Rattus norvegicus: one gene and its partners. The protein of the gene in region 1 purifies or fractionates together with the protein of each later gene. This does not show direct contact. Links are inferred from orthologs where the notes say so. Each region holds a gene or a part of one and is shown in the gene's direction. Other genes may lie near its edges. The genes, in order: Cltc, Myo6, Ptpn23, Ap2m1 and Clta.

The links.
Region 2: the proteins of Cltc (region 1) and Myo6 purify together in Homo sapiens (affinity purification with western blotting; 4 studies listed by BioGRID and IntAct, with this or other methods). This does not show direct contact. The link is inferred for Rattus norvegicus from reciprocal best matches to the Homo sapiens genes CLTC and MYO6.
Region 3: the proteins of Cltc (region 1) and Ptpn23 purify together in Homo sapiens (affinity purification with mass spectrometry; 3 studies listed by BioGRID and IntAct, with this or other methods). This does not show direct contact. The link is inferred for Rattus norvegicus from reciprocal best matches to the Homo sapiens genes CLTC and PTPN23.
Region 4: the proteins of Cltc (region 1) and Ap2m1 purify together in Homo sapiens (affinity purification with mass spectrometry; 3 studies listed by BioGRID and IntAct, with this or other methods). This does not show direct contact. The link is inferred for Rattus norvegicus from reciprocal best matches to the Homo sapiens genes CLTC and AP2M1.
Region 5: the proteins of Cltc (region 1) and Clta purify together in Homo sapiens (co-immunoprecipitation; 6 studies listed by BioGRID and IntAct, with this or other methods). This does not show direct contact. The link is inferred for Rattus norvegicus from reciprocal best matches to the Homo sapiens genes CLTC and CLTA.

The regions. Positions count from the first base shown.
Region 1 is NC_086028.1:72,066,836-72,073,156, reverse strand, and holds the start of Cltc (clathrin heavy chain 1), read left to right. Parts: upstream 1-2,465; 5' UTR 2,466-2,563; coding exon 2,564-2,605; intron 2,606-6,321. UniProt on the Homo sapiens protein: Clathrin is the major protein of the polyhedral coat of coated pits and vesicles. Two different adapter protein complexes link the clathrin lattice either to the plasma membrane or to the trans-Golgi network.
Region 2 is NC_086026.1:90,088,231-90,093,751, forward strand, and holds part of Myo6 (myosin VI), read left to right. Parts: intron 1-1,104; coding exon 1,105-1,235; intron 1,236-1,314; coding exon 1,315-1,392; intron 1,393-3,083; coding exon 3,084-3,213; intron 3,214-5,521. UniProt on the Homo sapiens protein: Myosins are actin-based motor molecules with ATPase activity. Unconventional myosins serve in intracellular movements. Myosin 6 is a reverse-direction motor protein that moves towards the minus-end of actin filaments.
Region 3 is NC_086026.1:119,237,991-119,242,993, reverse strand, and holds the end of Ptpn23 (tyrosine-protein phosphatase non-receptor type 23), read left to right. Parts: intron 1-35; coding exon 36-215; intron 216-305; coding exon 306-2,148; intron 2,149-2,241; coding exon 2,242-2,426; intron 2,427-2,529; coding exon 2,530-2,634; intron 2,635-2,713; coding exon 2,714-2,852; intron 2,853-2,939; coding exon 2,940-3,053; intron 3,054-3,129; coding exon 3,130-3,609; 3' UTR 3,610-3,781; downstream 3,782-5,003. Other genes in the region: Scap (sterol regulatory element-binding protein cleavage-activating protein), read right to left, coding at 4,070-4,315, 4,393-4,599, 4,709-4,789, 4,951-5,003. UniProt on the Homo sapiens protein: Plays a role in sorting of endocytic ubiquitinated cargos into multivesicular bodies (MVBs) via its interaction with the ESCRT-I complex (endosomal sorting complex required for transport I), and possibly also other ESCRT complexes.
Region 4 is NC_086029.1:93,864,351-93,870,618, reverse strand, and holds the start of Ap2m1 (AP-2 complex subunit mu), read left to right. Parts: upstream 1-2,138; 5' UTR 2,139-2,166; intron 2,167-4,421; 5' UTR 4,422-4,464; coding exon 4,465-4,538; intron 4,539-6,130; coding exon 6,131-6,268.
Region 5 is NC_086023.1:63,047,136-63,052,656, forward strand, and holds part of Clta (clathrin light chain A), read left to right. Parts: intron 1-33; coding exon 34-71; intron 72-1,059; coding exon 1,060-1,177; intron 1,178-5,112; coding exon 5,113-5,224; intron 5,225-5,521. UniProt on the Homo sapiens protein: Clathrin is the major protein of the polyhedral coat of coated pits and vesicles.

The DNA.
Region 1 (6,321 bases):
CTAAAACCATGCCTTTCAGGTACAGCTTAGAAATCTTAGTGCCTCAGCCTTTGGGGTTTCTAAACCAGGGAACTATCCTTTCCCCTGTCTCTGTACTGTTGGAAATTTAGATAGTATGGTCTCATAATAAACATCTTTTATTACAACAAATTACTGATCTTTAAGGGGCATGCCAGTTTGGAGGCTGTTTTAGTTTGGGGGAACAAGGTCCTGCTATGTGGTGGGGCTCTCTTGAATTCTAGATCTTCCTGTCTCAGAAGCCTCTAGTGTAAGGATTACACGTGAGCACCACAATGCATTGGGTAGCATTATCATTTAGACCATTTTTCGCTTGGAAAAAAAAAAGTGCTTTAACTGTTTATGGTGCCTTTGCTGAGTGAAATCTGCTTAGTCTTTTTAGTTGCTTTTAGTGTTTTTCTCCAATACTGTCTTTCATACTTAGGCTGAGAAGAGAATCTGGCAGGCAAGACAACAGTCCTATTAATAAGCAAAATGATTTGGGTTATCACCATCTACTTTTCTTCTTAATGATTTCTGGAAACAACTCATTCTTGAAATTTCTATGTGTGATGACAAAGCAGTCTCAGTGCACTTTTTGGTTAGGTATTCCACACCAAGGAAGTAAAATCAACTGCTCTGGGGATTTGAAATGTCCTTACAACTGCAGAGTGTGTACGAAAGTATAAGGCACTTGTCAATAAATTAAACTGTGGTGATCTGCTCTTACACCCCAAATTCTAAGATTGAAAATGCCATTTGATTAAGCTACTGACATTTCTGCAGTAAAACAATATCTCCCTTTGAATTTAGAATTTGTCCACTTCTAAAAAAAGACTTAAAGTCTTTAGACTCATATTAAAACTATCGTTTCAAACGTTGCAGGAGAGAGCATTCAAATGTTTAAGTGAAATTATACAAACACAAAGCATCCTAAATATGGTGGCAAGGCTCTTCTTCACAACGGGGGGCTGACTGCCTTCTCACTTGCCTGTTTCTCTCAGCCCAGGTATGAAAGGCAGTATTTGGAGAAACACTAAAAGCAACTAAAATGACTAAGCAGATTTCTGTAAGCAAAACCGCTTACACAAAATTATTGTATACCCAGTGGTGTCTTATGTTCTTTAGGTGAAAGGGGCATTGAAAATAACTTTCTCAAGAACTTTCAGGGGAATTAAGATGAAATATGAGGAATTGAATTCTCTAAATCATCCTTATTGGTGCTATTGTGAAACATTACACCTTACACTTTAGCAAGAGCTCTGGAGCGGCTATGAATCGCTAATGAATGCTGCAGATACCTTAGTGCTGTAGTCAGGCAAGGTGCTCCGGTTTTGAAGAGCTTACACTGCCCACTTTGCTACTACAGGCAATGATCCTACTAACGTGTATGACCAACAGTCAATCCCTCCGCTCCAAGAAAGCCCTCGAGGTTTCTTTCACCATCCATCCTTTGATCTAAACCTTTAAAGATTTTCAGGTTGCCGAACACTCCCAACTCTCAAAGGCCAAACTAATCTCTACATTAGGCTGGTGTAAGTCCACCAAAATGTCCGCGGAAGCTCTCTCCAGGGCCAGCAGGAGACACTTCTCACATGGCCTTCACTGTCCTTTGAGATGGTTTATCTGAGGCACTCGAGAGCCATCCGGCTCTCCTGGCGTCAGAAGGGCGTGCGTCAGGGCAGGGAGGCTTGCAGCTCAGCACGATCCCCCCTCCCTGAGGTGTCAGCAACCACCCACTGCGTGAAACCGGGCGGGGGAGGCGCGCCGCAGTCAGCCGCCCAAAGAGCGCTGCGGCGGGGCCGTTTTCCCTTAGTCACCGCGGCGCCGACGCCGCGGCCTTCTCCTCAGGCACTCGGTGTCCTCACGCCCCGGTCGCCACGCCGGCAGGGGGCTCAACGGCCACCTCAACCCCAGGAGCAGCGGCCAGTCCCTAACTCTCGCCCTCCACTCTGGCAGCCGTCAACCGACCCTTCCCTACCCGCATCACGTGCACCTGGAAGTGCGTGGGTGGGTCCTACAGCGCCTACGGAAATGACGTAGTTCGCCCCGAGTCGCATGATGTGGCAAAATGTTAAAAAAAAAAAAAAGGTGGGGGGGAGGGGAGGAGGGAGAAACCGGAGCCTGGGGAAAGTGATGAGTCTAGAAAAAGTAGTCCCTCGGTTCCTCTGTTTCCCCGCTGCCGCATCAGCGAAGAGCGATCCGCGCACTGCGTCCCTGAATTCCTACGCCTGTCCGCTGCACGGGGTTCGTGGAAGGCTACATAAGGCGGACAGGGTGAGGAGGCTGGGCGGAGTTCTGCCCCGGGATCCTTCCGCAGGGCTCAGCCGTTTCCGGAGTCTGCGCTGCTCCCGGTTCCGCCATTGCGGCTCTCCCGGCCCTTGGAGCCTCCGCCCCCGACCCAAGCTCTCTCGTCTGCCTGCCAGTTCCCTACGTCCCCGGAGAGTATTCCTCTGAGCCCAACCTCCCCCTCCCTTCCCCTTCTCCTCCTCTCCCTTGGAGAGCCCGGGCAGGCACTGCCCTGCAGCCCCAGTGACAGGAGGAGACCATACTCCCCGACAGCGCCATGGCCCAGATTCTGCCAATTCGCTTTCAGGAGCATCTCCAGGTGCGTGTTAGTCGGGGCTGCTGAGGGACTTTTCGAGGGTATTGGGAAGGAAGCTAGCGGCCCGGCCCGAAGGGGATCGAGAGAACGGGAGTGGGGGGGTGTCGGTATTTGGCATTGATGGAGGAAGGACACTGTCTTAAAAGCTTAAAGGGTTAAACGATATGAGACTAGGATGGAAATGACGAATCGGAGTGCAAAGGGCGGCGAGGCCAGGCCTTACGTCTGACGGCCTCTTATTTCTGCTTCCTGGATTGCAAGAACTGCGCATACCAGACCCCCCTTCCCATTTTACTCAGTTCATTCATTTGGGTAGGGGCTAGGTGGGGGAGCTTCTCGCGCGTTTCTCCCAGAGCAAGAATTCTCGTTAACTCCGGGCGATGCAGGGCTGTCACCTTCCCTTGGTCTATTCCGATTTCCACATCGAGTCTGCACCCAGGAATTGTGTGGCGGGTGGGTTGGGGAGGAGCTGCATCTTCGCTCTGCAGCTCACAGCTGAGAAAGGCACCTTGGGGTTAGGGTAGCAGTGGCTTGTGTCTTGCCTTCCCTGAATCTGTAAAGAACCGAAGGTCACACTCACTGAAGGAACAGAAAGAAGATAGAGGGGCGGCTAGGGGCGGTGTCAGTCTCAGGGTGCCTGGGGTCAAGGTCCCAAGGGGAACGCGCATATTTTTCCTTTCTTGGTTTCTTCAAGGGTTAGTGTAGTTCTAAGACTCACTTTGATTCTTGTAGGTAGGGAGAGTTATTTAGAGGTTATTTATGGTCTTTTGGAATCTAGCAGGTAGTTGTGGGATTAAGGCAGGAGTATGTCTCACAGGACTGTGTGGAATTCAACAGAGCCTGGAGTGCTGTAAATGCATACCTGCTCTGAGACAGTACCTGACAAGTTGATCTATAACTGGCTTCTTTTTAATAGGCTGGGGTGCCCCCCTCCCCCCACTGCACCTTATCCTGGAGTCAATACACCATTGTCTAACCTGGCACCATGCCAGCAGTTGGCCTAGGCAGGTGACCATTGGAGGGCTTCGCTGAATTAAGCTTCTTCTGAACTGCTGCTTTTCCTGGTTCTCTTGTCCTGACTCTTTAACATCATAATTTATTCATAATAATTTACTTCCCCCCAAATATCCCCATAAAGAAATCTGCTTTCAGCTTCATCTTTTGAAGGGCTAATTTCATGAGGGAAGGTGTAACGATCCAGTTCAAATATTGGTAACTTATTGAGTGCTTTATCATTGAAGGCAATCTGATTTACTGTTCTCCGTTGATACACGTAAAAGATGTTTGATAATAAACAGGGTTAACTAAAATTCAGCTACAAGTAAAATAATTAAATATTTCTTTATAGACTTTTACCGTGTTGCTTACATTAAAAAATTATTTTACTTTAGGACTTTAAATGTAAATGATAATAGACCTTTGCCCATAAAATGAGCTAAATACACTTTCTTCAGTCATCACTAGTTTTCAAATAATTCACCTGATTTTGGCAATAAGATCTCTATTTTGCAAAAGTCTGAAAAATGTCAAGTGACAATCCTGACAGAGAAGTTAATTTTGTCCTCAATTCAAGCTTGTTTGAGTTTCCTCTGTTAAGAAAATAAAGAGTTAGGAAGGCACTGTTCTGGATGCTAGCGGACAGTGTGCTGACCTCTTCAAGCTGAGCTAAGAGGGAGGCAGCCTGTGTACATTAACGAAAAAAAAAAAACTAGCTTTAATTAATTGCTTGCTTTAATTAATTTGGCCATGAATTGGATTGCTGTTTTCTCTCCTCCCATCTTTGGAATTAACCCTTGTCCACACTGAAGTTTATCAGAAATAGCCTTCTGCAAATATGTATATAAACCATATTCAAGAGAAGCAAAGACAGCTGCTGATCACATGATCATTGTTGATTTGAGTAATAGTGTTTCATTTCTGTTAAACACGAGACCAGAATTGTTGAATGGTCTACAGACTGGAATCCAAACTTGTCACTAATTAAAAACAAATTTAATGCAGGTGTGGCATGTGAGTAACAATTTCTGCAAATACTTGAAACTGTTTTCCTAAATTTGGAGATTTTGAATATTTATAAAATAGCTTTACAAGTGTTCTTGAAGATCTCTGTCTGTTCTTTGGAGGACCATGTTACACTTTAAGCTTTGGCTGGTAGGATTCCACTCCAGTAGATGGTGATCAGTTTCGTCAAAAGGGCAAATCACCATCTTTTCCAAGATAATGTATTCTCCTGATCTCAGATTTTTCCCCCCTCGGAGCTGGGGACCGAACCCAGGGCCTTGCGCTTGCTAGGCAAGTGCTCTACCACTGAGCTAAATCTCCAACCCCCTGATCTCAGATTTTTATCCCTCTCTTAACACTTCAGTGTAAGGAGTGTTTCAGTTGTCATCTTAAGTCTTTGATTTCCAAGCCTCTGCCATTCTGCTTAGAAAACAACTTTTAAAACGCTTAGGAGAAGAACTGGAAAATGAGGAACTAGAGAGTGTAGAGTTCACTTGTGAAAGTTAACAGCAAACTCTACATTTTTTTTAAGCTTTTTATGAGAGTGTTGCAAATAAAAAATTGCTATTTATTTTCATATCCCTTTGTACGTGTTTAGATAAAGATCTGTCATCAAGGCTTGGAACTACATCACATAATTTTAATATTTTATGTGATGAAGGAATTTTTGTTGAGTTACAGATTCTGAACAAATTCTAGGCTGCAGAACACAGTAAGTTCAATGCTAGCCAGCAAAACCCTGTCTCAAAGGACAAAACAACAAAATCCCACCGCCTGCAATTTTCAATTCCTTGAATATTAAGCATTTTGCTATTGGCACATTTTGTTGAACACTTGGATACTTCTAATTTTTATTTGTAAATCTCTCCACCCTATTCTTCTCGCTTTGATCCATAAGTGAAGGCATGCAATATAATGTTGAATAGTAGGATTCTTGCCAGGGTTGGTTTTTGAAGAGAAAGCAGTGTTTTCCTGGGACATAATGTATGCTTAGGTAGACGGGAAGAGTGCACACCTGGAAATAGACGCTGATCTACCGTGGAAATAGTTTCGAACTGGAGACAGCTTTCTTTTCAGAATTTTCTTAAAGGTTAGTTTACTCAACTTTAAGGAGTTCTAGGTGTTTTCCATCAACCCAGAAACTCCAGTTAATGCTATTAACTTGAAGGGATGGCCAAAAGCTTGGATTTGAATGTGTTACTGCAGAGTACATCTGTCAAATGTAGGCTCTGAGTTTCTTTTCTATTATGGGAAGTATTTTTTTTTTCTGCTCTGAAAGAAATAATTGTCAAAACTTAATTGCCCTCCAAATCAAACTCTATTGACTGTTACAGCCACTTAAATAATACCTTTATGTACTAAAAACCTGTTAAATGTTTTCTGTTCATCCCTCTAGGTAGTTTAACTTAGCATCCTTTTAGAAAGGAGAAAGCTGAAGTTACTGCAGTTAACTTATGGAACCACACAGATAGTGATTAGATTTTAATATTTATATTTTCAGCTTGGCAAGGCACGTTCTTCAGTGAATAATTACATAGTTTTAGCTGCAAAATTTATTACAATCAGGTCAGTGAGATGCTTCAGCTGCTAAAGGCACTTTGCTATGCAAAGGCACTTGAACTCCTGCACTAAATGAATGCGGAGCTGTCCTTTGACCTCCACATATGTAGCATGGCATGCATATACATGCACACACACATTGTGCACACATACAATAA
Region 2 (5,521 bases), on another chromosome or scaffold:
GCAAACAAGCCTTACACAACCCTTACCCCAAGACCACTTATCCAGGGGCAGCACCAAATACTATGGGCTGGGCCCTCCCAGATCAATCATTAATCAAGAAGATGCCCCATAGATTTGCCTACGGGCCAATAGAGGCATTTTTCTCAACTGGTGTTCTCCCTTCCCAGATGACTTCAGTTTGTGTCAAGGTGACTAACCCAGACAGGTACTTTCTACTAAAATGACTATCTTGTGAGTATCAGGACAAAGTAAGGGAGGATGAGAGAGGCAGGCCTTCCTCTTTTGTAACTTGTGTTGCCTGCCTGTTAATGCTGACCAGAAAAGTTCATGTTGACTTGAGGCTCAGATTGACTGTTTATTAGAGTTAAATTAATAGTTTGCATCTATCCTGCAGTTTCAGCTTCTCAACCAATGATTAGTATTCTTTGAAAACTTAGTAAAAGAAGTCTTTGAAGCTGGGGTTAGAACCTAGGGCCTTGGGCATGCAAGGCTGGTGCACTACTTGGGAGCAGCAGTGTGTGTGTGTGTGTGTGTGTGTGTGTGTGTGTGTGTGTGTATGTGTGTGTGTGTGATGTATATATGTGGTGCGTGTGGTATGTGTGGTGTGGATATCTATGTGTGTGTGTGTGGTGTAGTATGTGTGTCTATGTGGTGTGTGTATGTATGTGTAAGTTGCACATAATATTTAAATAATAAATTCTCTTTTGCTTCTTATTAGTTCTTGGGAAAATATAGAAATGGAGACTTTTTCAGAAGTTGTATTCTAAAATTAACCTCAGGATTTAAAGTGGTCAAAGGCAGGATTTGCTTTATGACTTTTGTGGAATTTAGAAAGATACACGTCACATTGGAGCCTTCTGGATGGGCTGCCGCTGGGAAATGCTCAGTGGTGCTGACTTCATTGGCTTTCCCTGTGTCTGTTTTACATGGTAAACAAGCTGGACACACTGACTGGAGGTGTGATTCCCTGGGTCGTCCTCACTCTGATATACTCTCACTATAAGCTCTTTTCATAAACTTTAGCTTGTAAAATTGATGGGTTACTCACATGTCACCCTGAATTTACATACTGTGACTGGAAATTATTTGTGCTTATGACTCTAGGTATGGTGTCTGTGCTGGACCTCATGCAAGGGGGTTTCCCTTCAAGAGCCTCATTTCATGAACTCTATAACATGTACAAGAAGTACATGCCAGAAAAACTCGCACGATTGGATCCACGGCTATTTTGTAAGGTATAAATGCCACTTCAATAGAAATTTCTCACCAACAAATCTTTTCTGTTAAACTCAACTTTTAAAACTTGTTTTTCAGGCTCTTTTTAAAGCTTTGGGATTAAATGAAGTTGACTACAAGTTTGGGCTGACAAAAGTATTTTTCAGACCTGGCAAGGTAAATATATATGACAGTTGGGCTTCATATGTATTTCCTTAGTTATTGGCGATTTATATCACTACAGCATTATATGAAACAGCATGAGATTATGTTTCTGTTCACACAGGTTTCCTGTTCGGGGTTGTTTCGTATGAGTTTAAATTATAGTTTTACTCAGTATTGGAATCAGAGGATTGTTAATTTTTTTCTTAAATAAGGACTAACCAAAACTTTCTAACATTTTAAATAAGTTGAAACTATTTCTATAATATTTTAATAATGTGCCAGTTAGATAGCTCAGCATGTAACCCAAGCTGTCACAGAATTCTCCATCTGAGTTGGCCCAGACTCCTCAATGCTGTAAGCATGTGCCAGCTCGCTTGGTGAGTTTCATAGCATGTTGGAGTTTTCCTTGTGAGAAAGTTTCACTGGAGTATGATAGATACATAAAGCATATGAAACTCGATTGGATTTGTACTGACTATTGACAAGTTTCACAGTAAGGGAATGTGTAAACACTGCATGCGTTAGGTTGCTTTTAAGCTGACATAGTACTGCAGTTGTGATACTCACTGACTGCAGAGCATGTCAGAGCTAACTGTATTCAGTACACAAACACCTAGGGCTGTCCACAAATGTTAAGAATACCACGTCCATATTCCTAACACTTGAGACACTGACTTACTGATTACATAGTTACAATTGTAAAGATAGTTGTTATTGCAGCTCACTAGTTCCACTGGTCAACTCTCTCTAGTGTCTCAAGAACAAAATAGTTACAATAAATCTAATTTCACATTTTTTAGCACAGGATGAAAATATGCAATTTTATTGCTAGTCTGTGGTGTCTTTGTCACAGAACTTGTACCATTTCCTGTGAAAAATGAAGAGAAAAAAATATAGGTGTTCATGGCTGGCTTCACATTACTTTGTGTTATTTATCATAAATTCAACATCTCTCTTGTGTCAGAGCTATAGTAACTAATTAATGGATAGAGAAAGAACCTGGATTATTTTCCTCCAGAAAGATGCAGAAGGTTGTTGAAAGCTTAAAGCAAGCAGATTCAGAGATTCATAGTCTTGTTATGCTACTCTTACGGTTTTTATGATTAAACACTTGTTTTGTTAATTGGCATATGACACCTTTAACACTGCAGTGTGATATTTGGTGAAGAATGGAAATAATTCTGGAATTTTGTGGTAAATAGAAAAAGTATTGTATTTGCGTGGTCTGTCTCCTAGCAGTAATTTCCTATTTTTTTTGTCTAAAATTAGAGTTGGGAGAGACAGGACTTTTGGTGGCTCCCCTGCTTTCAATGACCTTTACTTGTTGAGCAATGTGGATGTCTGAGAATGTGGTTGAACTGGTTCAGACGTGTTGGCCCCATTTAACATTTTCCCTCAAATATTTCTGCCAAATTTTCCATAATCAGTCATTTAAGAGTTTTTCTTATACCTATTTTTGCTGCTACTTAGGGATAAATAAGTATTCCTTCCTACCTTCCAATAAATCGATGAAGGAAAGGCAGAAGGAAAGGGCCATGACAAGTGGCCAAATGTGTTCTGTATACCCTGCTAAGATATCCTTGGAGTTGAATTTTAATCATTTTCAGGAAGTTATATTTGGAATTTGAAATCCATGTAGTTATTTCCTCTCTACTTGAGCACATTTACCCTTTAATGCTGATGCTAAGTTATCTTACTCTTAGTTTGCAGAATTTGATCAGATTATGAAGTCTGATCCTGATCACTTAGCAGAGTTGGTGAAGAGAGTCAATTTGTGGCTAGTCTGTAGTCGCTGGAAGAAAGTTCAGTGGTGTTCACTGTCAGTCATCAAACGTAAGTATTTCCCTCTGGCATAGTAGCTCATTCTTTAATCCTAGTGCTGGGGTAGAAGAATCAAGAGTTCAATGTCTTGGGGTTGTAGAGATGGCTTCAGTGGTGAACAGCATGGGTTATTTTTTCAGAGGACCTGGGTTTGATTCCCAGCACCCACACAGCAACTCACACCTGTGTGTAACTCAGGTCTAGGGAATTAAGTTCTCTCTTCTGGCTTCTGCAGGCATTGCATGTATCAGGTGCTCAGGCAGGCAAAATACATACATACATACATACATACATACATACATACATACATACATACATGCACATTAAAGAAAAATAAAGAAGAAAAAGTTCAAGGCCTTCCTTGAATCAAGACTGTCTCAGTAACAACACCAACAACAACAACACCACCACCACCAACAACAACAACAACACCTTCTCACCAAACTATGCTTTATTTCACACCAAGATTTGTTATTTTGGAAGTGAGATGGTTTGAGGGATGTCATGGGACTGTCTGGGTGCTAATGGGTACCTTTGGTTCCTGCTGTGTCTGATGGAATGGTCCCTCAATACCTAACCCAACATGTATAGACTCATTTTATTTTCTGAAGATCTCATGACATTCACTATCTGAGATATGTTCTAGGGTTATGAATTCCACCATGTCCTAAGAAAACAGAATTTATTCTCTTCCTCCAACTCTCGTTCTCTCCTTGACGCCCCGCACCTCACCATTTTCTCAGATTCTAACTGAAACAATTCTCTCTGCCAAAATGGTATCTACCTTAGATGATCTGTTCTGTCTCTGTGTCTCTTCCTGTCTCTGACTCCTCTCACCCCCAATCTATTTAATTTGAAGTGCTGTGTATTGAACTCTGGGTCTTCCACATGCTAAGCAAGCTGCACCCGGTTGGATTTTTGTCTCTCTTTTCAAGTCTCAATAGTTATGGGATGATGTGGATTTCACCTTCTGAGAGTATAAACCTTTATTCTCATTGGCAGTACCTTAGTGGGGCCTCTTTTGTCACTTACATTATAACTGTATTAGTTTCCAAAGTCATTTGCCAGCTTCCCGCCCTGCTTATATTTTCTAAAGCAAAGGCTTTTCTAGTTTTCCTTCAATGGCTGGCAGAGTTTGAACTCTCAGACTGTCTTTCTAGACCGTGGTGGGGCTTCAGCTTGTCTTTGCAGCCTCTCCTGCTCCCCGCCTCATGGACTCTGGGCTCCAGTACACTGGAGTGAGCTGAGTTTGAATGTATTTCTGCCACATTGTAGCAGCTGATTATATCTGGTCTAGAACATGAGTGAGTGCAAAATATTTTGGATAACTTGAAGGTCTGTGGTGAAAGCTTAATGGTTGGGAGCTGTGTGGAAATCAGCTCATTCAGACCACCTGAAATAGCTTTGTGCATGAGGGAGGATTCAGAAGGTAAATCTTTACTAACAGAAGAGTAAACCGGGTCTGGCACAAAGGAACTAGGCACATTATTATTGAGATCTTTTGTTAGGCAATAGTGCATATTTATAAAAATACTATGATAAAAAAGACAAGAGAGCCTCATCCCGCATCATTTTCCAAGTAAAATATAAGTGGTTTTTGACCAAGCCAGTCTAGTCAGTCAATGAGTTCTTCAGAGAGGGAGTGAGAATTAAAAAGAAAAAGACAATTAGACAACAGTGTAGCATGATCCCAGCTGGTTCCTAGACTAAAGCAGGCATGTTTTTTTTTCTTGTCTGCTTTTATATCATTCTAGGTACATGCAAAGAATAGGGTCAGTGCTAACTCATAAAGTAGTTAAGGAACAAACAAAGCATAGAGAGGGTAGGTAAGGAACAAAGCACAGAAGGTCCCATGATTACTGTATTCAGGGTCTTAAAGGACCCACCAAGATACAAAGAACACGTTCCTCCGCTGTACTCATCTTGAGCCCACTTCCCTGTCCTAGCCCAAAGTCAGATTCCTGCCTGAGTCTACTTCCCTGTCCTGGCCCAATGTCAAATTCCTGCTAAGATTCTAGAAGCTGCCCCAAAAGCTGTCCACAGTTTTTCATGGGTTGGTGCTTTCGACTTTATATATATAGTGCATGTTAGAGGAAAGATATGTTAATATTCTATATATAGTGCATGTTAGAGGAAAGTATATGTTAATATTCTATTTGTGCCACACCTCCCACTTGTAGACTGTGTTGGAACAACACACCATGCTCATTTACCAAACAGTTTCTCTGCAGAATGTTAATTGGGAAGCTCTGAAAAAACAAAATGATAAAACAGCAACTAAGGTCCAATCATACCAGGACATTCTAGGCTACCTGAAGTT
Region 3 (5,003 bases), on another chromosome or scaffold:
CTCGCCTCAGTCTGGCTTCTGTTTTGCCCACCAAGGTGGAACTCCACACTACAGACCCTGGTTGCATCCTATGAAGCCTATGAGGACCTGATGAAGAAGTCCCAGGAGGGCAAGGACTTCTATGCAGACTTGGAAAGCAAGGTAGCCGCCCTGCTGGAACGGGCACAGTCTCTCTGCCGTGCCCAAGAGGCCGCTCGCCAGCAACTCCTGGACAGGTAGGTGTGGGCTTTAGGCTTCGTTGCAGATTGTGCCCAGGCCAGCCTGGCTCGTAGAGGTTGGCCTTACTTCCCCTGCCTGCCCCTTAGGGAGCTGAAGAAGAAGGCACCACCACCTCGGCCCACAGCCCCAAAGCCATTGCTGTCCCGCCGTGAGGAGGGAGAGGCCGCAGAGGCTGGAGACCAACCCGAGGAGCTGCGCAGCCTGCCCCCTGACATGATGGCTGGCCCACGGCTGCCTGACCCATTCCTAGGAACTGCTGCCCCTCTCCACTTTTCTCCTGGCCCCTTCCCTGGTTCCACAGGCCCAGCAACCCACTATCTCTCAGGACCCTTACCACCTGGAACCTACTCAGGCCCCACTCAGCTGATGCAGCCTAGGGCTGCAGTGCCCATGGCCCCTGGACCTGTCCTCTACCCAGCCCCTGTCTATACATCGGAGTTGGGCCTTGTACCCAGATCCTCTCCCCAGCATGGAATTGTAAGCAGTCCCTATGCAGGGGTAGGGCCACCCCAACCAGTCGTAGGTCTTCCCTCTGCTCCACCACCCCAGTTCTCAGGACCTGAGTTAGCCATGGCAGTCCGGCCAGCTACCACCACAGTAGATAGTGTCCAAGCCCCTATCTCTAGCCACATGGCACCACGGCCAGGCCCTGCCCCAGCTCCTCCCCAGCCTTGCTTTCCAGTGCCTCAGCCTGTACCCCAATCTGTTCCCCAGCCGCAGCCTCTGCCCACACCCTATACTTATTCTATAGGGACCAAGCAGCACCTCACAGGCCCTCTACCACAGCATCACTTTCCTCCTGGGATCCCTACCAGTTTTCCAGCCCCCAGGATTGGGCCCCAGCCCCCACCTCAGCTTCAGCCCCAGCCCCAGCCCCAGCCCCAGCCCCAGCCTCCGCCTCAGCCCCAGCCCCAGCCCCAGCCCCAGCCCCAACGGCCAGTATTTGGGCCACAACCCACACAACAGCCCCTTCCATTCCAGCATCCACATCTCTTCCCATCTCAGGCCCCAGGGATTCTCACACCACCACCCCCCTACCCTTTTACTCCTCAGCCTGGTGTTTTGGGACAGCCACCACCCACCCGGCACACCCAGCTCTACCCAGGCCCACCTCCAGACACTCTTCCCCCACACTCAGGGGCTCTGCCTTTCCCGAGCCCTGGGCCTCCTCATCCTCACCCCACCCTGGCATATGGCCCTGCCCCTTCCCCTAGGCCCCTGGGTCCTCAGGCAACCCCTGTCTCCATTCGAGGTCCCCCACCAGCCAATCAGCCTGCCCCTAGTCCCCACTTGGTGCCTTCACCTGCCCCATCGCCAGGGCCTGGCCCAGTACCTTCAAGACCCCCAACAGCAGAGCCACCACCATGTTTGCGCCGAGGTGCTGCAGCTGCAGACCTGCTGTCTTCCAGCCCTGAGAGCCAGCATGGAGGGACTCAGCCTCCTGGGGGCGGGCAGCCCTTGCTGCAGCCTACCAAGGTAGATGCAGCGGAGGGCCGACGGCCACAGGCCCTGCGGCTAATTGAGCAGGACCCCTATGAACATCCTGAGAGGCTGCAGAAGTTGCAGCAGGAGCTGGAGAGCTTTCGGGGCCAGCTGGGGGATGCAGGAGCACTGGATGCTGTCTGGAGAGAGTTGCAGGAGGCCCAGGAACACGATGCCCGAGGCCGATCCATTGCCATTGCCCGCTGCTACTCCCTGAAGAACCGGCACCAGGACGTCATGCCGTATGACAGTAACCGTGTGGTGCTGCGCTCAGGCAAAGACGACTACATCAATGCTAGCTGTGTGGAGGGGCTCTCGCCATACTGTCCACCCTTAGTGGCCACCCAGGCTCCGCTGCCTGGCACAGCTGCAGATTTCTGGCTCATGGTGCATGAACAGAAAGTGTCCGTCATTGTCATGCTGGTGTCTGAGGCTGAGATGGAAAAGGTAAGAGCCTAGATGGGAACCAGGAGGGAATCATGGAGTGGGGAGGCCGGGAGTCCAGGAGAGCTAGCCTGAATTGTCTTGTCTACTCTTCAGCAAAAGGTGGCCCGCTACTTCCCCATTGAGAGGGGCCAGCCCATGGTGCACGGGGCCCTGAGCGTGGCCCTGAGCAGTGTTCGTACTACTGATACCCATGTGGAGCGAGTGCTGAGCCTGCAGTTCCGGGATCAGAGCCTCAAGCGCTCTCTCGTGCACCTACACTTCCCTACTTGGCCTGAGTTGTGCGTTCATGGCTCTGGGTGGTGGGGTCAAGGACAAACTCCTTGGGTGCTTAAGGGTGAAGGCCTCACATCAGGCCGGGTTCATACCTGCTTTTCCCTGCAGAGGCCTGCCAGACAGCCCTGGCAATCTGCTGCGCTTCATCCAGGAGGTGCACGCACATTATTTGCACCAGCGACCCCTGCACACACCTATTGTCGTACACTGCAGGTAGGGAGCCTTCAGCTACCAGCATGAGGCTGTGTCCTGCGGGCTCTTAGCCTGGCCTTATACTCCTTTCTTGTCACAGCTCGGGGGTGGGCCGCACAGGAGCCTTTGCGTTGCTGTATGCCGCCGTGCAGGAGGTAGAGGCTGGGAGTGGGATTCCTGAGCTGCCTCAGCTGGTGAGGCGGATGCGGCAGCAGAGGAAACACATGCTGCAGGAGAAAGTAAGTGGGCGGAGTGGGTGGAGCTGGGTCCCGCTTGCCCTTGCTGAGATGGCTCCGCCCAGCTGATTAGACCAAATGTCTCTCTAGCTGCACCTCAAGTTCTGCCACGAGGCATTGGTGCGACATGTGGAGCAGGTCCTGCAGCGCCACGGCGTGCCGCCTCCTGGCAAGCCTGTGGCCAGCATGAGCGTCAGCCAGAAGGTGAGGGCAGTTTCTTGAGGGCCACTGGGATGGTCACGACCTGGTGACACCCTTCTTACTAGCTCTCCCTTCTCAGAGCCACCTTCCTCAGGATTCCCAGGATCTGGTCCTTGGTGGAGACGTGCCCATCAGCTCCATTCAGGCTACCATTGCCAAGCTCAGCATCCGGCCCCTGGGTGGCCTGGATTCCCCCGCTGCCAGCCTTCCCAGCCTTGTAGAGCCCCCAGGTCTTCCACCAGCTAGCCTTCCAGAGCCCACCCCTGCCCCACCTTCCTCACCTCCCCCCCCCTCTTCCCCTCTGCCTGAACCCCCCCAGCCAGAGGAGGAGCCATCAGTGCCTGAAGCCCCCAGCTTAGGGCCTCCCTCGTCATCCCTGGAGCTGTTGGCCTCTCTGACTCCAGAAGCATTTTCCCTGGACAGCTCTTTGCGGGGAAAGCAGCGGATGAGCAAGCAGAACTTTCTGCAGGCTCACAACGGGCAGGGTCTCAGGGCTGCCCAACCTACGGATGACCCCCTCAGCCTCCTGGATCCACTCTGGACACTTAACAAGACCTGAGAAGGCTTTGCCTGTCTGGTCCTTACACTACACCTCCCATCCCTGCTGCCTTCAGCTGTGCCAGATGGAGATGCACTTCAGGCCTCAGTCAGGCTCTGCTCCTTCCTTTGCGGAACCTGACATTTTTCCAGCCCTGGGCTATTGACATAATAAACTTACTCTGTGGCCAGTGTCCGAGTTCACCTGCTGTTACCTCAGGAGTGCCAAAAACACCTCTCCCTTTGCTGTTCAAATCCCCACATTTCTTGGATAGCTCTGAGAAGGGAGTGGAATGACAGTACCTTTGGACCCTGGTAAATGTGGTTTTTTAAAAAAAAGTTTATTATTACAGTCAGGAGACAACAGTTCTGAGTCAGCTGCAAAGATGCCTACCTATTGCCTCCAGTCTAGGTCCAAAGAGTTGCAATCCCCAGTGCCCCACCTTGGGATGGGGGAAAGGCATAGTGCAGTTGACCTGCCTTCAGTCCAGTTTCTCCAGCACAGAGGGCACATACACTAGGCTGAGCTCACTGCCAAAGTTGCAGACAATGGCAGCATTGTCCAGCACCAAAATCTGCCGGGCAGGCTGGGCTTCACTGTTCTTTCCCAAGTAGACTGTCTGTAACAGGTCCCCATAGTTTAGGTCCCAAAAGGAGACACATCCCTGGCCGCCGGTCACCAGAAGGTTATCAGAGATGACACCCAAGCTTGCACCACAGCCCAGGTCCTGGAGGCAAAGCCAGAAGAGGTCTTGAATGTGAGTGCGAGTCCCAAACACCAACACCCTATGCCCCGCCCGCTCACCTGCTGAATGGAGTACAGCTTGATGCCTGTGCTTCGGTCCCAGATGTTGATGAAGTCATCCAGGCCACTACTGATAACACAGGAAGTGGTACAGGTGAGGGAGGTGACATCTCCACGGTGAGCAAATGTATGGCTGACCCGGCTGCCTGTTAGTACATCCCACAGGCAGATGGCTCCATCTTGTCCTCCACTGGCCAATACCATGGTCTGGGGAAAGAGGCCCAAAGGAACTCAGTCACAGGCCTTTATCAACAGTGTCCCCATCCCGTTACCGTTCCAGGAGGCAAACCTCACAGCCCCACCACAGGTCCCTTACCTGATCAATGTACACAGTTGTGATTGCCCCCGAGTGGCCCTGCAGGGTAAAGAGGCAACACGAATCCTCCAGTCGGAAGACCTAGGACAGGGAGGACAGGTTCTGGTCTCTGGGACTTGCCAAGGTGCTCTGTGCTTTAGCCAGGAAGTGCTTGCTGTCATTCCTCTAGGATTCCTCTAGCTTGGTCCCCCTGCTCCTTACCCCCTCCAGCTCACCAGTACCCAGAGATCAACAATACACACTCTCAGAGTATGGTCTTGGCTCCCTGTCACCAGGCGCCCCGCTGCTGCTCTCA
Region 4 (6,268 bases), on another chromosome or scaffold:
GCATGCCCCAGCAAATGTCTCCCCCATCAAGATGTCCTTAGCCCAGGTTTGGGGGCAACCTGAGGTAGGGATATTTTGACATTCATTTAACATATTTCCAGGGACTTTAATGAACAAAGGGCTATGTTAGAAGCATGACTTGATCTTCGCTGTCTTCAGTTCTCTCTGACTCTGCCTTTTCCTGTTCTCTTGAGAATCCCTCACCAGTGCTCCCATTATCCTGCCTTTGGCTCATGTCCCTTTCTTCCCCCCTTTCCCCCATAGTGTCAGCCACTCTCTTCTTAAGCTGTTGATGTGCTGGCCACTTCTAAATCTGGATCTCCCACCCCAGCTTCCCCTCTCTTTAGATCTGTTTTTATTCCCCACTGGACATCTCCCCAGGCTTGTCCATATGTCCCCAGCCAAGTATTATTCCTCTCGAATTCCTGCCCTTGTGACCTTCATTACAAGCCACACCTACACGGGCTTAGTCAGCATCTCACACCCTTATACTCAGACACTCTGAAGTTCAGCTGTTCCTCTCCCTTCCTTACATTACAGAGCATGGGATTTGGAGTCAGGTTGGTTTGGGCTTGATTTCCAGCTCTATCATTTTTGATTGTGTAATAGAGTTATTTAACCTCTCTGGAGCCTCAGTCCTCCCATATGTAAAATGATGATAATAATACCTACCTCACAGGGTTGTTGTGAGGATTTAAATTAGATATTGTACGAAAAGTGCCTAGCACAGTGCCTGGCACATAATAGAGTAGGTGCTCAATAAATGGTAGCTATTATTATTACTATTTCTATTTCTATGTTGTTGTTGTTGTTATCACTAATTTACTCTAAACTTTTAGGGTATGTTGGGAAGAGAAAGCTTTTGTGAAGATAGACATGAAGCCTTCAAAGGTTACAAGTTTCTGGGTTTTGGCTTCTGGAAGGAGGTTGCTAGGAATAGTAGGGTTAGCAACCAGATTTGAACACCCACCCCTTCCTTTCTGCCATAGAAGTCTCTGGCCTGTTTAGGCAACAGATGTCTCTGTCCACTGAGAGAAAAACCAACTTTTCTAGATTTGGCAAAAATCAGACAGCCGTTTGTGTTCGGGTTGGTTCTGCCTCATTCTCAGTTTGGATATCATAAGAAATCTTTTTTTTTTTTTTTTAAGGTTGAGACAGGGTTTCTCTGTATATCCCTGGCTGTCCTAGAACTCGATCTATAGACCAGGCTGGCCTTGAATTCAGAGATCTGCCTGCCTCTGCCTCTGCCTCTGCCTCCTGAGTGCTGAGATTAAAAGCATGTGCCACCACTGCCCAGATGAGAAATGGGATTTTAAAATCCCATGCCCAACTAAACTGGAGTGGTGGACAAACAGGCTCCCTTTTGTAGCCTGGGATGTCTTGAAACTCCCTATTTAGACCAGGCTGGCCTCAAATTCACAGAGATGCTCTTGCCTCTGCCTTCAGAGCTCTGGAATTAACGGCATATGTCACCAGCACACCACAGTCACAGATTTTGCTGAGAAAAACACTAATGTTTTACCAAGAATTAGTGCTTTCCTTCCCAGCCTTTCTGTTTGGATAATTATCCCTGAGAAAGGGCTCAGTCCTATCCTGGAATATATATAAAACCTCGGGAGAATCAAATGTGTTAAAAAGCAATAAATTCAGCAGTAACGGGCTTATGCAAGTTGTGTTTGTAAAGTGAATATAGCCACTCTTCGAAATCTGGAGACAATAAAAATCTAATAATTCAAAATTTACAATTGGTTTCAACAAACAGCTTTGGTCTCTTAAAGCCTACCTCCTCTAACTAGGAACGAGAAGGATTACAGAGACTACACTTCCCGTGATTCTCAGTGAAGCAAATAGTCTGTGGAGCGTACCATGACCCGTGTTGCCAGCAAGACGCACTGAGGCCGACGTCGACTCTGTCTCGAAGGCTGTCGGTAGTTGTAGTTTTGCTAGACTTAGGGCACTCGGATGTGTCAGCTTGAAAGCTTCGGAGACTGACGGGACTTGTAGTCGCCGCTGGAGGTGAGCGCGCAGGCGCAGCTGCGGGCGGGGCGGGGCGGGGCGGGAGCACTGCAGTGAAAGCGGAGGCAGCAGACAGGCGAGCTGGGGGCGGGCGGACATCTTGGGATCCGAGAGTGGCCAGGCCTGCCTTGTGGGGGCTGCTGACTCCAGGTGAGCTGGGAAGCTTGACTTAGAGATCCTTACCGGGCGGCGAGGGTGCCGTGGTCACCTGCCCTGCCCCGCACTGTGCTGGGTGGAAAACTGCCCGCACCCGGGAGTGGCCTCAGCCTCCAGACCCGGGAGGGAGCAGACGACCGGGCGGGGGTGCCTTGGGCGCGATTGCAGCAAGGGCGGGGAACGACGCCCTCCAGTAACCCGCTGGGCGTCTCCGGGAGGAGACTCGGGCCGGAATCCTAGAGCCGGGGACCCCGCGCGGCGCCCCATCCCTAGAATCCTGACAACCGCTCAACCCCGAGGTTTCCCATTCTCCCATCCCCCAGGACATTGACATCCCCTGGTGCCACTCCCTTGGACAGTGACAGGTCTCTCTGGAACACTGAGAGATTCCTTCCTCCTGGTTTACCCCCCACTGCTCTTCTACCTCAGACCTATGACAGCCCCCGCATCCCTTGGTGACATCTCCTCGGCCTAGATGTCTCCCCCCTCTGCTGAGAAAAACTCCACCAACCCCTCATGCTTCACTAAAAGAAGAGTAGGCCCTATCTCTCAGCTTTCTCTTTTTCTACTGTCTATCTTTTCGCCTTGTTTTGCTCCTCCAAAGCTCCTATGACCTTTGTCATAGGAGAACTTGAGGGACTCCCACAGCTGTATTTGCTGCTGTGGGGTCATCCTGGTCTATTGCTAGCAATTACAGCTAATCGGTCCCTTAACTAAATATTCCATTTCTGTCCAGGACACAACACACACACACACACACACACACACACACACACACACACACACACACCACAACCACAGCCACCTCCACCTCCACCACCACTCCCACCCTCGGCTGATACCTGTGGACTTGGTCCTTTGCTCAGGGGACAACCTCCATTTTGCATTTTCTTTCTCACCTTCTTTGAACTGTGAGACAAGTGTGTCCACTACCTTAGTTGACTTGTGACTGGGTTTCAAGGGTTAACTTTTCAGTTTCAGAAAGTCTTGTTAGACTAACATCAGTGAAATTAATACCAGGGTTAATCCAGAAAAATCTAGAACCAGATTAACCTATTTTCTTAAATATTCTAAATTAATTTTGACCCAAATGAATTTGGGCAGTTGAGACATTCTGTTACCTTGCCCATTGCTTAGTAAACACCAGGCCAGAAGTGACTGACTTGGCAGCTCTGGAGTCACAATTTAGCAGGATTAATGCTACATACAGACCTAATTTTTGTCACATTTTGAAATTTTGATAAGACAGTGACCAGAAATAATTGTAAAGGGGGCTCAAAAAGAAAGAAAGAAAGAAAGAAAGAAAGAAAGAAAGAAAGAAAGAAAGAAAGAAAAGAAAGGAAAGAGGGACTTGGCATTTCAGAGTCCTTACTGTTCTTCCAGAAGACCTGAGTTCAGGTCTCAGCCCATGTCGTTTGGTTCAGTACTGCCTGTAACTCAGGCTTGTGGGATGGAGGGCAGGGCTCCACCTGACGTCTAGACTTCCACACACACAGCACACACATTGGCATACCTATGTGAAGGTAAAAATGAAATCTTTCTAAGAAGAACTTGGGAGCATTGGAGCGTGGTTTGTTCGCCCTGGGCCTCTCTGTTCCTTTGCCTGCTTATCTCACTGCCTGGGGAAGACGAGCCTGCTTCAGCCACATTCCTGGGTTTGTGTTAGAGCCTAAGGGCCTCTTCTCCCACCCCCACCTCACTCTGCACACCCTTTCCTGGAATGTGTAGCCTTGTAGACGGTCATGCTCTGCTGCCTTCTTGGAAGAATAGTGCTTGCTCTAAAAGTTATGCCTGGTGGCGGGCACAAGCTAACTCCTACCGCCTAATCCCTACCGCCATTCCTGCATCCGCGGGCAAGCTTTTCTCTGACTCACTGAAGTTGCGGGGAGTGAGAGTCTGCACAGCAGGGGTTTGAAAAGAATCTTAGCTGAGCTCAGCATTGTGAAGACGACGGGGAGGGGTGCGAGTGGGGGTGGGGGGGTGGTTACTTTCAAGCTCAGCCCTCAGAAAAGACTGAGTAAAATGGCCTTAACCCTGGGCCCCACACTTAAAGTACTGTCTCCTATCCAGTGTGGAATAAACAGGAACTGGAGCCTCGCTGTGCGTGCAGGCGGGGCTTCCTTGGGAGGGCTGCAGGGTCACTTGCTAGAGGACTGAGTCAGGAAAAAAGGCAGCCCTGTACAGCCCCGCTGAGATGGGCAAGGGATCTAAAGATTTCCCCATTCCCTATCCCCACCTTTCCTACCTAGGTCTGTTCTCAGAGCAATGGGTCACAGAGACTGAGCTGCCGCCATGATCGGAGGCTTATTCATCTATAATCACAAGGGGGAGGTGCTTATCTCCCGAGTCTACAGAGATGACATCGGGTAAGTCCCCTGCCTGAGCACGCTGTGCCCCAGCCCCCCCATCGCCTCAGCCTGAGCATGCAATATAGCCTGGTTCCATTGGGCATCGGCCCAGCTGCTAGGCTCAGGGCCTGGGGATGACACCTCCACCCCCTAGGGTTAGGAACTCCTGCCCTTCCTGCTCCCTGTAGGTCTGGTCTGGTGGCTGAAGATGAGTGCTTTTGCCTGGTCAGGTTGATTCTTCCTTTCAGGAGGGAGCACTATCTCCTGTGGGTGTGGTTAGTGTGTGCTCGGTGGTACTAATCCATCTAAATCTTGCTTTCAAATCCTTCTCATACTGAGAGCCTTCCCTAGATCCCCTTAAAACCCCTCTCTAGTCTGTTGACTCAGCTGTTTTCTGTTCTTCTGGACCCTCCCTGGTTGTGAACAGGCTGCGCTCTGTGGGTCATGCTGCCTTTGTAGTTCATCCGGGTGGACCTGGGTAGCGCCTAAGACCTCAGGTCTTACAAAGAGTCACTGCAGCCTCACTTCTCTCTCTGCTTCACGCTCTGGCCTCCTCCACTGTATAACCTGAGGTTAGGCTCCTCTGGTTCTTCCTACCTTGGTTATCCCCCCCCCCCAAAAAAAAAACCCTTGAGATAAATAGAGACTTCTGATAGCTCTCCTACCTTCTTGCCTCCCTGGCTGATGGGCTAGCTTGGTGTGGCTGTATCCATATATATATATATTTTTTTTTTTTTTTTATTTTATTTTTTTTTTTTTTTTTGGTGGTAAAGCTGACCTAGATTTTGTGGCAGTGCCTAGCCTAAGTAAACCTGGCTGGTCCATCCCTTCCTGCTCCTCCCACCCTGGATGGTCCTGGTTTATGCCACCGCTGGGCCACATGACACCCCGCATGCCTTAGTGTGCTCTCTACCTGTTGCCTGTCTTGTCCGCCTCTCCCTCATGCTCTGTGCTGCCCACCGTGGTGTGTTGTGTGTCGTCTAACCCTCTCTCTCCTTGCTGTCACTCTCCTCTCGCTGACGTCATTTCTCTCATCCCATCTCATTGGCTGATGTAGCAATAGGTAAGCAGCCTGTGAAGCTGCCGCTCAGGTACAAGTGGGTTGGGGGTCCTCCCCCCTCCAATTGTTTTCCTTCATCATTTTTTATTCCCTAAACTTCAGGAATCAGACCTTAGAGAAGAGGTGGGTGGCATAGTCCACAGCCCCTCTTCCCCTTTAGAGCAGAGTCTTCTTGAGGTCATACAAGTTTGTCCAACTACCAGAGGAGTTGGCTTTTCCCACTGGTGGGCCCAGTAGAGATCTCCTTCTCTTCAGGGCCTGGAACTTCTGGAAAGCAGAGAGGGGACATCTTGGGTGTATCTGGGGAAGTAAAGACAGGGCTAGGGCTCAGTTTATTAACACTATACGCACCCTTCCATAGTTACCATTTGACTCCCCCTTCAGGAGCAGGCCAGTGCAGAACCTTCCTGACCCTGCTGGGGTATCAGAGGGAAGCCTGTAGAGAGGTCAGGTTTCGGTGACGTGGAGGGGAGGCCGCCAGCAGCTGCAGGTGATCCTCATGGGGTGAGGTCTGCCTAAGTGCTGACCGCCTCTGCGTCTCTTCCCGTAGGAGGAATGCAGTGGATGCCTTTCGCGTCAATGTCATTCACGCACGGCAGCAGGTGCGCAGCCCTGTCACAAACATCGCTCGCACCAGCTTCTTCCATGTTAAGCGGTCCAACATCTGGCTGGCAGCAGTCACCAAGCA
Region 5 (5,521 bases), on another chromosome or scaffold:
CCGATTGACAGGCTGGAATCTTATGTCTTGCAGATGCGGTTGATGGAGTGATGAATGGCGAATACTACCAGGTACGAAGTGCTCTTAACTATATTAAGTGATGTCTTAAGTGTGATTTGAACTGACTAACCTAAAAGAGACCCCAGTGCTGGTTCACTGCCTACCAGAGTGGACAGTGGAAGTGGTAGAAAGAGCTTTTTTAAAAAAACGAAAATTGAGATACTGGTCGTCATCCTCAATTCAAGCACTGTGTGCCTTATGCCATACCCAGCACTATAGAGGTCACTAGTGACAGTGTAGTCCTGGCTGTCCTGGAATTCACTGGACTGGGCTGGGTTCCCTCACAGTTTCACTTGCTCCTCAGCTGGAATCCACCACTAAGCCCGGCAGTCACAAGAACTTTAAGTAATTCCCCTTTTCTCTTTGTTAGAGTCTAATAAGGCTAAGCGGGTAATGATCCCCAGGTGGCCACATAGTATAATTCTCCAGTCAGTTCGCAACTATGGGTTTCCGTCAACCTGTTATTAGCTCTCAGGTCTTTACCCACCACAGAGAAGCCTCCCTGCCCTCTGACTCATAGTCACCCCCATTTTTTGATCCTTCCCTGATTTGACTACAGTTGCTATACTTTTGAATTCTTTCCTAAAGTTTACCGTCTGGCTAGATGTTATTCAGTGACTGTTCCCCTGTGTGGTAAAATGGCTTCTGAAGTCTTAGGCTCTAGGCTTGGCTTTGCTCTGTGCTTATTAGCTTTGAAGGCAGCACATAATCTCCGAATATGTCCCTTACCCATCCAGCCTCAACTCTCCTGTCACCCACTTGTGTCCCGCTTTTCAACAGATAGCAACTAGTCTGCCTCCCTCCTGAGAGCGCAAGGACCCAGCTCAGTAATGTTGCGATGCAGGAGGCTCTCTGGTGGCTTGTAGGGTTCTCTTACTGCTTTAAGTAGTCCTTTAACAGTTACAAGCCCGCCTTCTATGTGACCTGACGTTCTACTCTTGTGAAAAACATTTCAGAAAGACTTGGGGGCACTGATGGATATAATTGTTTTGTGTTAAGGAGAGCAATGGTCCAACAGACAGTTACGCAGCCATTTCAGAAGTGGATCGGTTGCAGTCAGAGCCTGAAAGTATCCGTAAGTGGAGAGAAGAGCAGACAGAGCGCCTGGAAGCCCTCGGTAAGGAATTCCGCTTTGCTTTCAGGTGTCTGCTTACAGTAGAGTAGTTGACGAGAACTGTACTCTGATCCCCTTTAAGCTTGCATCGGCCATAGTGTCTCTGTTCAGTGTTGAGGAAGTTGTATTTCTCAGCCTAAAGGTCACAGGCCACTGGCAAGGATAGGCTTCATCAGCGGCTACTGCATGAAGAACTCGGGAGTGTAGGGAGGCGTCTTCTCCAGGAAGTGAAAGGCTCAGTTCAAGATTGCACCTTGCTGACTGGGTGCCTGGTTCCCGTCTTTCACTGTCATCATCTGAGGGAGTCAGTGATGCTGACTACAGCTGAGTGCTGTTGACAAGCATATGGGAACTTGAGGTACTGCTCATGTGAGCGACACTGACGGTTCACTTCTCATTTGAAAGATGGATCTACTGTTAGGAAATGTGTCCGTACCTTCCCATGCTGTGACAACATAGTGGACAGAATCAACTGAAGGAAGAAGGTTCAATTTGGCTCACAGTTTCAGACATAGCTGCTGGCTCTATTGCTTTCAGGTCTGGGAATAGAGAGACTTCCAGGCAGAACAGACAAAGGGCATCTGTTCGCCTCATAGCAGATAGGAAGCAGGGAAGTAAGGATGTCATACAGTTCAGAGGGACTCTCCACAGCCACCACTTCACCCAGCCTTTACCTCCCCTGTTACCACATCTCCCAGTGGTCCATTCAGTCATGGATCAGCCCATGGATTAGGTCGAGTCTCTTACAGTGCAGTCACTTCCAACAGATAGCACCATGAGCCTTTTTTTTAAAGTCCATAATTGAATTTGTGTGTGTGAATGTTGTAGCAGTGTCTTAGGGTTTCACTGCTGTGAACAGACACCATGACCAAGGCAACTCTTATAAGGAATTTAGTTGGGTCTGGCTTACAGGTTCAGAGGTTCAGTCCATTATCATCAAGGCGGGAGCATGGCAGTGTCCAGGCAGGCCTGGTGCAGGAGGAGCTGAGTTCTACATCTTCACCCAAAGGAAGCCAGGAACAGACTCAACATCCTAGGAGAAGCTAGGAGGAGGGTCTCCAAGCCCAGCCCCACAGTGACACACTTCCTCCAACAAGGCCACACCTTCTAATAGTGCAGCTCCCTGGGCCAAGCACATTCAAACCGTCACAAGCAGCATGTCTGTCTGTGTAGTGTGTCTGGTACCTGCAGAGGTCAGAAGAGGTTGTTGGATCCCCTGCACCTGGAGTTACAGATGGTTGTGACCCATAATGTGGATGCTGGTCTTCTGCAAATCAACAAGTGCTCTAAATTCCAGAATCTTCTCTCAGGCTGTCTACATGAGTCTTTTTAGGGGATCCTATCATTTCCAAATCATAACATGGACTTTTTTTCTTTACCTTATTATCCCTGTAAGGTAAGGGATCTTTTTGCATTTTAAAAAAGTATTTATTTTTTATGTGCATTGGTGGTTGTGACTGCATGTATGTCTCTGTGAGGGTGTTGGATGCCCTGGAACAGGAGTTTCAGATGATTGTAAGCCACCATGCGGGTGTTGGGAATTGAACCCAGGACCTCTGGAAGAGCAGCCAGTGCTCTTCCCTGCTGAGCCATCCCTCCGCCCCCCCCCCTTTTCATTTTTATGAATAAAGGTATTGAGGATCATAAGTAGATTACATTTGAAGCACACAGCTAAGGAGTGTGGTAAAAACAAGTTTGGGTTTGTCTGCTCTGCTGAGGCTCCACATTTACCCCACGAGCCACGTGGCTTTCTACGTGCATTTTGTGTACAGGGCCATCTAACTGGGCAGGCCAAGCCCTACCGTGGCATCAGCTTCTTGTTTCTCTGGCTGTCCTGGAACTTGATACTTCGATCAGACTGGCCTCAAATTTACAGAGAACCATCTGCCTCTGCTTTCCAGGTGCTGGGACTAAAGGTATATGATATCATGCCTAGCCCTAACAAAAATAATTATAATGATTGTTAGAATACATAGAAAGAATATAGTCCAATCAAAACACTTAAAAATTGTAAACATGTCAAGGTTCTATTTTGAGACCCAGGATTGGACTCAGGCCATCAGGCTTCTACCCCAGAACCATCTTGCCAGCCACAAAAGGGGTGTGATTGGGAAGTGATTCCAGTTTGCAGTTAGGTCAGGTAGTAGATTTTTATTTCCTTGAAGCTCACGTGGCCTCCTCAACTTCTGGAGTCTGATGGCAGAGTAGTTTATCCTCTGCCCTGTGTGTGCCATGGGCAGGACTGTCGGCAGTTCTCTGCCGGTATGTCAGAGGCTTTCGGGGGAGCTCATAGTATACAGTCTTGTGTGAGTGCCAGGCAACTTCCGGTGAGTTAAACAACAAAGAAGAGAGTCTGTAATAGCAGGACGCCTGGAGATGGCTCTAGACACAGCCTGGCCCAGGAGGTTAGTACGTGTCTGGCAAAGGGCAGATGCCCAGGAATACTCTGCTTCTTCAGGCCTTCCTTACTTGATGCCACCCTGCTTTCACTCTCCTTCTCCAAGGTGCTAATTACAGGTTGGGCTCTTACTCTGTGCTTGGAGACCTCTCTGGATTACTTGATGGTTATATAATCATGTGATTATTTCCAGGTTTGTGTACTGAAGTGAGTCAAGTGTGAGCTTGAGAGCAGACTGGGTCTTTGCTCGCCCCTTATCCATGGCAAGCTTACTCAGCTTTTTGAGGGCTTTTTCCTCCCTTACTGCTGAAAAGGAACCTAAAATTTATCTTCTTGGGAGTATTGTAAAGATTGAGGTCCATGAGAGGATGTCCCCAAGACCATGTTTAACTGTTAGCAATTCACATGTGCTGCTAGCAGTGATCATGCTTCCCTGCCTTTGTGACAGGTGGTCTTCAACCAACATCGTGCAAAACTACATTTAATCTAAAACTTGACTTTGGTGGCTAAGAGTATTGACTGCTCTTGCAGAGGACCCCAATTCAGTTCATAGCAACCACATGGTGGCTCACAACTGTCCGTACCTCTATCTCATGGGTTTTCATATCTCTGGCCTGCATATGTGCTGGATTGTGTGTGAGCACACACACCAAAAAAGAGCTTGCAAAGGAGAAAATGTTTGCGAATCCAGGGTAGCAAACCTGCAGATATGAATTCTCTCTGAACTTACTACTGTCTTAAGCCTTTTGGTGATTGTTAACCGGTGACCCTGTGTCCTTGGCCCCTGCAGCTCCCTCCATCCCGGTTTTCTTTCACTTAGCTCTGTTACAAACTGACTGTCATCCAAACTGGAGTAGGTATTCTGTGGTCCTGTGTCCTACCATTCTCTGATTTGTGAGCCATTTCTACCTCTGCTAATTTTACTGTTAGTTTCCTGCCTCGCCAAGTGTTTCTGCCATATTTATAATTAGAGTAACTTTGTTCGGGGTGTGGACTGTGTACATTTCTAGAAGAGTTAGAAGAATCTGTTCCGTTAGTTGGGAGAGTACTTGCCCAGCATGCACAGAGTCCTGAAGTCAGTCCCTAACACAATACAAAACTGGGCAGAGTCACACATTTCTGTAAATTAGCATTCAGAGGGGGAAGCAGGAGGTAGAAGTTCACAGTTTTCACCAGTATCATAGGTTAAGGGTCATCCTGGGCTACATGAAACATTGGCTCAGAAAAAGAAAAAGTTGTTATTTATGCCCGTGCACCATATGTGTGAGGTGCCTGTAGAGGCCAGAATGAGGGTGTAGGGTCCCCTGGAACTGGAGTGAACGATGGTTGTCAGCTACCATGGGATATGGGTGTTGGGATGGAACCCAGGTCCTCTGGAAGAGCAGCCAGTGCCCTTAACCGATGAGCCATCTCCCATCATTTTTCCCAACATCTGTATGCTCAGAAGATACGTCGGTAACTTCTATAGGACTACAGTGTTATACGTTGACATGAACTTATTTTTGCTTTCCCTCAGTTGTATTCTTTTCTCTCCTAAAAGATGCCAATTCTCGGAAGCAGGAAGCAGAGTGGAAAGAAAAGGCCGTGAAGGAGCTGGAAGAGTGGTACGCAAGGCAGGACGAGCAGCTACAGAAGACAAAAGCCAGCAACAGGTGGGTCCTCTGTGCATCTAGAACGGCCTGCTCTCTGAGACTGAGTAAATCCATTTTCTAGAACCCAGTCTAGGTTCTTGGCTGTGCCTGCCTTCTTAGAAAAGCCTTGGAGATCTGGAAGAAACTGCTAGAAACAGAGGCCGCAGGTTTCCTGGGTCTTATGAGCAGAATCAACTTGGATTGAGTTTGGCTCTTAAACTGGGTTTGGTTTCATCAGCTGTGATGGTGTGACCTGGGAAAGTTAGGCCCTGGAGAGCCCTGAGATGAAAGGTCAGTTGCAGTCTCGTGACTTGTGAG